Oryctolagus cuniculus: one gene and its partner. The protein of the gene in region 1 purifies or fractionates together with the protein of each later gene. This does not show direct contact. Links are inferred from orthologs where the notes say so. Each region holds a gene or a part of one and is shown on either strand. Other genes may lie near its edges.

The links.
Region 2: the proteins of ESS2 (region 1) and protein FRA10AC1 purify together in Homo sapiens (co-immunoprecipitation; 3 studies listed by BioGRID and IntAct, counting the BioPlex papers as one, with this or other methods). This does not show direct contact. The link is inferred for Oryctolagus cuniculus from reciprocal best matches to the Homo sapiens genes ESS2 and FRA10AC1.

The regions. Positions count from the first base shown.
Region 1 is NC_091452.1:26,941,521-26,946,531, reverse strand, and holds the start of ESS2 (splicing factor ESS-2 homolog), read left to right. Parts: upstream 1-1,466; 5' UTR 1,467-1,517; coding exon 1,518-1,652; intron 1,653-2,780; coding exon 2,781-2,949; intron 2,950-3,048; coding exon 3,049-3,144; intron 3,145-4,222; coding exon 4,223-4,398; intron 4,399-4,498; coding exon 4,499-4,616; intron 4,617-4,927; coding exon 4,928-5,011. UniProt on the Homo sapiens protein: May be involved in pre-mRNA splicing.
Region 2 is NC_091446.1:37,010,139-37,014,671, forward strand, and holds part of protein FRA10AC1, read left to right. Parts: intron 1-1,874; coding exon 1,875-1,951; intron 1,952-2,997; coding exon 2,998-3,081; intron 3,082-3,901; coding exon 3,902-3,986; intron 3,987-4,533. UniProt on the Homo sapiens protein: May be involved in pre-mRNA splicing.

The sequences.
Region 1 (5,011 bases):
GGCTTCCAAGTGCTGCTTCTTGGGTGGAGGTCCTCGGTGCCTCCACCTGGGGAATTTCATGCTGGGGGGGGGGGTAGGGAGAAGTGATCTGCCTCCCTCCTTGGGTGGGGCAGGAGGAGGGTGGGTTGGGGAGATTGCTCCCCACTTCCTGGACAAACGCCTCCTCCTTCTGTTCTTCCACCATCCTGAACCACAGGGTGATGGACAGCGTGCCAACAAGGCTTCTAGAAGTTCCTAGAAGCCCTTCCCCTAGCTTCAGCATCCTGTTCCTGTCTCTTCCCGTGGTCCTGGGGGTGCGCGGGGTGGGGGTGGGGGAGTGGCGGTACCTGCAGGGACACAGTGCAGCCATCCAAACTAGGACAGCAGTAGGGGTTGGACAAGCCAAGCCTGGCCAGCGGCTCTGGTGTCCCTGGCCAGAGCTGCCCTAACCCTGCCAGATGCCTGCAGGACAGGTAGCTCCTCTGTCCACTCCCTCCCGTGCCCACGCCTCCCCCGGTTGTCACAAGGCTCTACTCTTGTCCTTGGAAACTTGAGTTGGCTTATCTGTGGATGTGACTGTGGCCCGGTCAGCTCCCCTGCAGGCTGGGACAGCACCCCTCCCCCCTTCCAGGCTCCTTTATGTTGGAATCGGTGCCCAGATGCGATGCTGGCGCTACAGGCCGGGGCTTTAACCTGCTGAACCACAGCGCTGGTCCCAGCAGGGAAATTTTTGACCCCTAAATCAGTCTTCCTTCTGTGCAGCTCCAATGACCCCCACCTCTTTCCTTGACCATTGCAACTGTGTCCAGTCGTGCCCACCTGCACCCCTGGCTCCCCTTTTCCTGCAGAATAAAGACAGAACTCCTCACGGGGACCCAAGAGGCCCTGCGGCAGCCTGGCCCTGTGTCTGTTTTCCCCTCGCGGTCCACTGCACTCTGCATATCCAGAGGTGTCCTTGGGGACCTGCTGGGCCACTGTGTCTGTGCACAAGCTCTTCCAGCCCTTGGTCGCTCACGCCTGTACATTCATTCTTTGGATCTACAGCCAGCTGCTGTTTCCCTCGGGGACGTTCCCCGCCAGGGCACTGCTCCCCAAGTTCAAACTCTTCCTGAGCCACTTTTTTTTTTTTTTTTAAACCCTGTGTTAGGTAGCAATCCAGAAAGAATTGTCCTGGAGTGCTTTTCTTGCATAAAGTCTGCAATGCGCACCTAACCAAGTTTTCTGAAGCCTATGTTTTTGTTCATGACGATGAAGCGTACATTTGTTTGTGGTCTGTGATCAATTCCGATTCCTCCGTGCTGAAATTTCACAGCGCCCCCGCGTGCTCACAGCCCAGACGCGCGCGAACGCCACGGGACATGTCCAACACTACAACTCCCAGAAGGCGCTGCGCTCCTCCTGACGTCAGTACTGTGCGCGGGCCCTCGTTACAAACGCACAGCTTCGCCATTGGCCAGCTGCTCAAGGCGCCTGCGCACACGGTGCAGTCCCGCCCCTAAGACACGCCTGTGCAGCCTCTGAGCGGTGCTGGGATAGAGATGGAGACGCCGGGCTCAGGGACCCGGGCCTTGTTGCTCCCGGCTGCCTCCGGACAGCCGAAGAAGCGCGCGGCGGGGGATTCTGGGGCCGCGCCCAGCAAGCAGCGAGTGCTGGACGAGGAAGAGTATATCGAGGTGCGACCGCAGGGCGGACGCCGCCGACTTCCGGCTCCCGCTGCCACTTTGCGCTCCTCTCGGGTCCCTTGTCTCCTGTGTTGGCATTTCGGTCCCTTCGTGGAAGTGAAACAGCCGGGGCCCCGTCCTTGGGGGCTGGGGTGGGGGGCTCTGGCCAGCCCCGAGAGCCAATTAAACGGTGTAGCGGGAGGGGGGCTTGATGGAAGAGGCGTTTGGAGAGGGGGCGCCTGCGTGCGTTTGTGGTTGGGAGTTCAGGACATTAAAGTGTTGTGTGGACGCGCGAGGGGGGGCGTGACAGACGATGAGGGGTTTCTAGAGAGCGGCGACAGGGTCCTGCGGTTGCGGTGGCATCACTGAGCCAGTGGTCTCTGGCGCCCGTGCAGTAGGTGTGGTCCCCCCGTGCGCGCGCAGTGGAAGGAGCTACGCGGTGATGGGAGGAAGCCGGCTTGGTTTTGGCTGGCGGGTGGCACCGGGGGACCGCCGGCTGGCAGGTGTGCAGCTCAGGCGCAAGGTCTCTCTGGCTGGGGCTGCAGCAGCCTCGGCACTCTCCGGCGGAAGGGAATTTGGCCTGAAAGTAGAGGGTTGGGCCGGCGCCGCGGCTCACTAGGCTAATCCTCTGCCTGCGGCGCCGGCACCCCGAGTTCTAGTCCTGGTCGGGGCACAGGATTCTGTCGCGGTTGCCCCTCTTCCAGGCCAGCTCTCTGCTGTGGCCAGGGAGTGCAGTGGAGGATGGCCCAGGTGCTTGGGCCCTGCACCCCATGGGAGACCAGGAGAAGCACCTGGCTCCTGGCTTCAGATCAGCTCCAGGCACCAGCCGCAGCGCGCCGGCTGCAGTGGCCACTGGAGGGTGAACCAATGGTAAAGGAAGACGTTTCTCTCTCTCTCCACTCTGCCTGTCAAAGAAAAAAAGAAAGTAGAGGGTTGCCCCCGGGATGTGTGGATACAGCGGGCGAAGGGAGAATGAGAAGGACCAGTCAGTGGCGGGAAAGACGACGGAGCAGTAATGTTGGGTGTTGCGGCAGAGTCACAGGGCCCCAGGCTCCTCTGACGAAGCCCCGCCGTTCAGCAGGCACGTGAAAGGGGGTTGACCGAGAACCCTGGTGGGCAGCTCCGTTCTGTTGTTGACAGGGCCTGCAGGCGGTCATCCAGAGAGATTTCTTTCCCGACGTGGAGAAGCTGCAGGCCCAGAAGGAGTACCTGGAGGCCGAGGAGAATGGCGATTTGGAACGGATGCGCCAGATCGCCATCAAGTTTGGCTCTGCCCTGGGCAAGATGTCCCGAGAACCCCCGCCACCTTGTAAGAGGACCTTGTGGGGGTCGGGGGCAGGGAGAGGAGAACCCGCTGAGCAGTTGCCTCACTCACTCTAATCCCTACCTCCCTTCTCCCCCCTCCCAGATGTGACCCCAGCCACGTTTGAAACCCCCGAGGTGCACACAGGCACTGCCGCGGTGGGCAGCAAGCTCAGGCCCCGGGGCCGAGGCCTGGAGGATGGTAAGGGTGCTCAGCTTCCAGTCACGTAGCCAGGATCGCCTGGGAGACCCCTCCCCCGTGTGCCCCTGGGTGGGGGTGGTCCAAGGGGCTGTACATCACATCTTGTCCCAGGGCCCACGGGTGAGGCAGCCCTTGGCCCCTGGGCCACTAAAGGTCAGTGTCGGGTTGGCCAGCTCCCACCCTGCGGGCTCCCCCTCCTCCTTACCTCCTGAAGGCATCTCAGGGCCTCTGTGCTTGTTGCTTGCTTGCTTGTTGTGTGTGTGTGTGTTTAGGACATGTCATGGAGAAAGGCATCTGTCTAGGTCATCGCCGCCCTCCTCAGCCACCTTCCCCTCCGTCTTGGGTGGGGGCTGTGTGCTTTCGCTGCGTGTGAATGAGGTCTCTCCCACCATACTTCCCCGGGGCGTGGGTCACACATCCCAGCTGTGAGAAGGGAGTGTTCCAGGGAAGAGCCGAGTTTAAGTGGCCCCCACACCACAGTCAGGTCTCCGGCGTCCATGCACGTGTAGGTGGACAAGGTGCCGTTGGCTGTCAGGCTCTAGTCCGCAGCCTGCTGCAGTAGCACAGGTGCCACGGTGTGTGTTCACCCCCGGGCAGTTGGCCCCACACCCGCAAGGCCTCATCCAGAACGCTGGCTCATAGGGGTCCCTGCCCTCGGGGCCTAGAACAACAAAAGAGAAGGAAGAGTAGTTAGGGTAAGGACATCCTAAGGAGGGAAGGAGACGGCTAGGCGCTTTGGAGGTTAGGTCTTCTAGGACTGGCAAAAGATGATGCCCAACCTGGCCCCCTAGTCTGAATCAGGTCCCAGGGTTCTGTTAGTACCCAGCAGGTGAGTGCAGCTGACCAGGCATCTGTAGCGTGCCCTCAGATGCTCCTGGGCAGTCGGTGGGCGGACACCGAGCTCAAGGGGGCCTCCTCGGGCAGTGTGGGCCCTCACGGGCAGCGCCCAGGCCCAGGGTTGTGCGGATGCCAGCCCTGCTCCCAGCATTGTTCCCGGGACCGGGCGCTGCTCTCCCTGCTGAGTGAAGAGTGGTGTCTGTGCTGGTTGTGTACCGCGTGCCCTGTCTGTAACCCCAAGCAGGAGAGGCTGGAGAGGAAGAGGAAGAGAAGGAGCCGCTGCCCAGCCTGGATGTCTTCCTGAGCCGCTACACCAGCGAGGACAACGCCTCCTTCCAGGAGATCATGGAGGTGGCTAAGGAGAAGAACCGAGCCCGCCACGCCTGGCTGTACCAGGCCGAGGAGGAGTTTGAGAAGGTGACGCTGGGGCGCAGGGGTGCAGGGGCCCCTGTCTGGGGAGAGGGCGTCCCAGGGCCAGGACCCCTGTGAGCCTCAACTTTCCCCCATGTGCTTGCAGAGACAGAAAGATAACCTTGCACTCCCATCAGCAGAGCGCCAGGCCATCGAGAGCAGCCAGTCCGGCGTGGAGACCTGGAAGTACAAGGCCAAGAACTCCCTCATGTACTACCCAGAGGGTGAGTGGCTGTGCCCCTGGTGCCTGAAGAGGGAGGTGCAGCCTCGCGCGCGCGCGCGTGTGTGTGTGTGTGCGTGCGTGTGGGAGACTGGGCCGGTCTGCACTGGCCGTCACGGGTGAACGTGCTTCCCTGGCTTCTCGAAGCGGGAGGCGTGTCCGTGGATGTGGAACTGAGTGGGGGCGTCCGGCTTCCCTGCAGCTGGGAGGGACTTGGCTGGGAGGATGTGCTCCCGTCCCCCCGGGCCGCTGGCCTGCAGCCGGCCAGGTCCACCCGCTCTGAGCCCTGCTGCCGTCTCTGCTGTTGTCTGCCAGGTGTGCCCGAGGAAGAGCAGCTGTTTAAGAAGCCCCGGCAGGTGGTGCACAAGAACACCCGCTTCCTGAGGGACCCCTTCAGCC
Region 2 (4,533 bases), on another chromosome or scaffold:
CCTGTTTGAGCACGCTCCTAACTTCCCTGTGTAACATGAGCTCCATGTTAGGCCACTGTTGCGTGGGTCTTGGCTGAACAAATCACATTCAGGCTTTGCTGACTCCCCAGTTGGTTCACATAGAAAACCTCATTGGTGTACACCTTGACCGATCAACTGACCTTTCCTTCCCCTTTTAGAAATTTATAAAAGTCCAACCCAGGCAGTCCTGACAAGCAGACCCTTGCAGGGCAGTCTCTCCCAGATGTTGGACACTTTCTCTGCTTCTTTAAATAAACTTCCTTCACTTTGCTTGCTCTTAAATAAACTTCCTTTGCTCGCTCTTCCTTGTCCACGTGCTCATTCTTCATGGTCACGAGACAAAGAACTTGGCAGAGAAGAGAGGCAACACTCAGTGAATCCAGCAGAGAGGAGATGCTGTGACCCCACATGAGAGGAAAGGCTATAACAGTTGTAACACAGAAAACTGCAACTCTGTAATGGCTGGAGCTGAGCCTATCTGAAGCCAGGAGCTTCTGCCTGGTCTCCCACGTGGGTGCAGGGGCCCAAAGACTTGGGCCATCTTCCACTGCTATCCCAGGCAATAGCAGAGAGCTGGATCGGAAAAGGAGCAGCTGTGACTCAAAACTGGCACCCATTTTAGGATTTAATATTAGAGAAGTAGCATCTTCAGAAACTTTATTACTGAAATAGCTGACTTTTATAATGATGAAAAGTATATTCTGCTTCTTACCCTTAATTTTAGAAAACATAATTTATTTATTTTTCCCACTATAATTATTAGAATGAGCAGTGGTGTGAGGCTATCGTCCAACAATAGAATAGGAAGCTCTCTTTCTCCCTACTTGGAAATATGTTTGATCAGAAGAGTGGTATGTGTTTGCAAAATATTCCAGACGTTATAAATTGTATTCAGTAGAAAACGAAAGTCTTACTTTACAATCTTCATTCTTTTTTTTTTTTTTTTTTTTTTTTTTTGGACAGGCAGAGTGAACAGTGAGAGAGAGACAGAGAGAAAGGTCTTCCTTTTGCCGTTGGTTCACCCTCCAACCGCCGTGGCCGGCGCACCGCACTGATCTGAAGCCAGGAGCCAGGAGCCAGGTACTTATCCTGGTCTCCCATGGGGTGCAGGGCCCAAGGACTTGGGCCATCCTCCACTGCACTCCCTGGCCACAGCAGAGAGCTGGCCTGGAAGAGGGGCAACCGGGACAGAATCCGGCGCCCTGACTGGGACTAGAACCCGGTGTGTGGGCGCCGCAAGGCGGAGGATTAGCCTAGTGAGCCGCTGCGCCGGCTTACAATCTTCATTCTTAATAATTCAATATAGCGGCGCCGGCTTACAATCTTCATTCTTAACAATTCAATATAGCTGGCACCGCGGCTCACTAGGCTAATCCTCCACCTTGCGGTGCCGGCACACCGAGTTCTAGCCCCGGTCGGGGCGCCGGATTCTATGCCGGTTGCCCCTCTTCCAGGCCAGCTCTCTGCTGTGGCCAGGGAGTGCAGTGGAGGATGGCCCAAGTGCTTGGGCCCTGCACCCCATGGGAGACCAGGATAAGTACCTGGCTCCTGCCATCGGATCAGCGCGGTGCGCCGGCAGCAGCGTGCGGCGGCCATTGGAGGGTGAACCAATGGCAAAGGAAGACCTTTCTCTGTCTCTCTCTCTCTCACTGTCCACTCTGCCTGTCAAAAAAAAAAAAAAAATTTCAATATATGCCCTTGTAGATTTTTTGAATGTATAAGCACGTATAGTACATATTTGCATAATAATAAAAAGCTAAATAAACTCATGCTTTTTTTTTTTTCACTTGGTAATATATCATGACACAGAACAAATCCTAAGTGAGTACCATCCTTAATTGTTTGCATTTCAGTATCAAAGGCATACGAAGTTCGTAAATGACTATATTTTATACTATGGTGGCAAAAAAGAAGACTTCAGACGTTTGGGGTAAGTATCATGAAGCTGACCTAAAATGAGAGGACTGTGTGGGTGACTTTAAAGACACACAGCTACTGTATCTTTTGACTGCATTTTCACTCTCTCCCTACTTTCTATCCAGTTTTCTTGTTGTATCACAAGGTGGAGAGGTCATCCACAGCTTCTAGCTAAATAGCTTTTCATGAATCCCATTTCTTTGGCGGCAGGCCTCAGGTTACCTACTTACCTCTTGAGCTAGCTACAACCCTGGCAATACAGGGTATATGAGGAATATTTGTGTGTCTTATTGGAAAGGATCTTTGAAGTAATGAAATTTGTAGACTTGAATGTTTGAGAATGTTTCAGATAGAACAAACAAGCAACCTCACCTTTCTCACACACGAGTCTTTCCTGTATCTTTGGCTTTTCTATTCAAATGTCTTGATTTTGCATAGATTTTTTTTTTCCTTCCTCTGACTTTTTTCTACTCTGATAGTGCCCTAAGAAACTTTAGTACTATCTCATCTACCCCAAGTTTATCTCCTCTATCATTATCCTATGTCCTCTAACAATCATTTACTCTACTTCTAGACTGTCAGCATTGATCTTGAGAGATCATCTCTTTCAATTTTATTCCCCTTACTCAGTCTTCCTAGGAAACTAGTAGAATGAAGTATGGAAAACTTTTTATACTTTTAAAAATTAGATCTTAATAAAATAATATTACTGACTTTTGGTTAGATCCTGAAACTTATTTTCATTTGCTTTACTTATTTAGTGTTTATTTAGGTTTCTCATCCCAGCTTTGGTAACTTAGCACTGTTTGTGAAATTGAGCCCAGTACTGGAGATGGAAGGATTCTGTATCCATTTAACCTGCTTCTATAGCAGCATTCTTTAAGAGTGCCTTTTGAAAATACTGATGTAGTTTTTATAAATATGTGTATATACTCACTTAAAACTATTTTTATGTATCATGTTTTATTCAAGTTTTCAAAAAAATCAGCAGAACTGTTTAACCTCCTAAATGTGACTAATTTTATTTTTATATTAGATTGCAATACTCTTATTTTCCAGGGAAAATGACAAGACCGATTTGGATGTTATACGAGAAAATCATAAATTCCTATGGAATGAAGAGGATGAAGTAGACATGACGTGGTAATTTTTGACATCAAGCATAATGCATCAAATGCTTTAGTCCTGTCTCTGCTGTTTTCAGACTTTGTCACTATCTGACTTTTTACTGATTTCTCATTCCTTGACTTAGTTATTAAAAAATGACCTTTCTGGCCGGTGCCGTGGCTCACTAAGCTAATCCTCCGCCTTGCGGCACCGGCACACCAGGTTCTAGTCCCTGTCGGGGCGCCGGATTCTGTCCCAGTTGCCCCTCTTCCAGGCCAGCTCTCTGCTGTGGCCAGGGAGTGCAGTGGAGGATGGCCCAAGTCCTTGGGCCCTGCACCCCATGGGAGACCAGGATAAGTACCTGGCTCCTGCCATCGGATCAGCGCGGTGCGCCGGCAGCAGCGTGCGGCGGCCATTGGAGGGTGAACCAATGGCAAAGGAAGACCTTTCTCTCTGTCTCTCTCTCTCTCACTGTCCACTCTGCCTGTCAAAAAAATTAAAAAATTTAAAAAAAAATGACCTTTTTTAATAATGTTGTGCCTTGTTTTGTAACATGCTTTCTTTTAAAACTTCTAAAATATTTTAGGAAAAGTAATACCTGAAAATTGTATAAGAAATCCAAAAGGTAAAAAGTAAAGATTAATTGTTTTTCTCATTTCTAACTATCCTTAAGTTTCTCTCCCTGAGAACCACCATTAATAGTTAATATCCAGCTATTCTATGCATATGTAAGTAATAGGCCTCTTTTAAAACATTAATATTTATATCATATGCGTTATTTATGTGACATTGCTTCCAAGCAGTGGACTATAGTTGAATTTCTAAGTGTATAATATTTATATTTTTGTGGATCTAGGGAGAAGAGACTTGCAAAGAAATACTATGATAAATTATTCAAGGAATACTGCATAGCAGATCTCAGTAGATACAAAGAAAATAAGGTATGCCTTCCAGATATTGTAGAATGAGGTTCTTATTCAATATAATTTTTGTTATACTCTCATGCCTAATTTTAGTCTAAATTGTCCTATAAGATGCCATTTGGACCATTTAACCTCTGCAGCTATGGAATTTACAGTTACCCTATGGAATTTATAGAGATAAGGGTGTTTCTTTTAGAGCTGAGCCATGAAAAGGCTAAAATTAAACACAAGTGCCTTGGTCTTGTTTCATCATTTGACTCTAGTCTAGAGCCTCTGGTGATTATAATGAATGATGGAACTTTGCAGAGCAATGTCTTCTTTCACAGATGATGTTTGAAATTGGTAGATTTTTAAAAATTACTATTTCTAGGGAAGCAGATGCATAGCCTGTGATACATAAATGTAATGTCTATTCTAGAAAAATTGAATTTTAAATTGTTGCTAACTAGTATTGACAGATTTCCCTTCCCACTTCACATATCATTTTAGTTAATATTGAAGTTATTTTTATTCCTAGCTTAAGCTTGTAATATGTAGCTGGAAGGTAACCAAGGAACAGACTAAG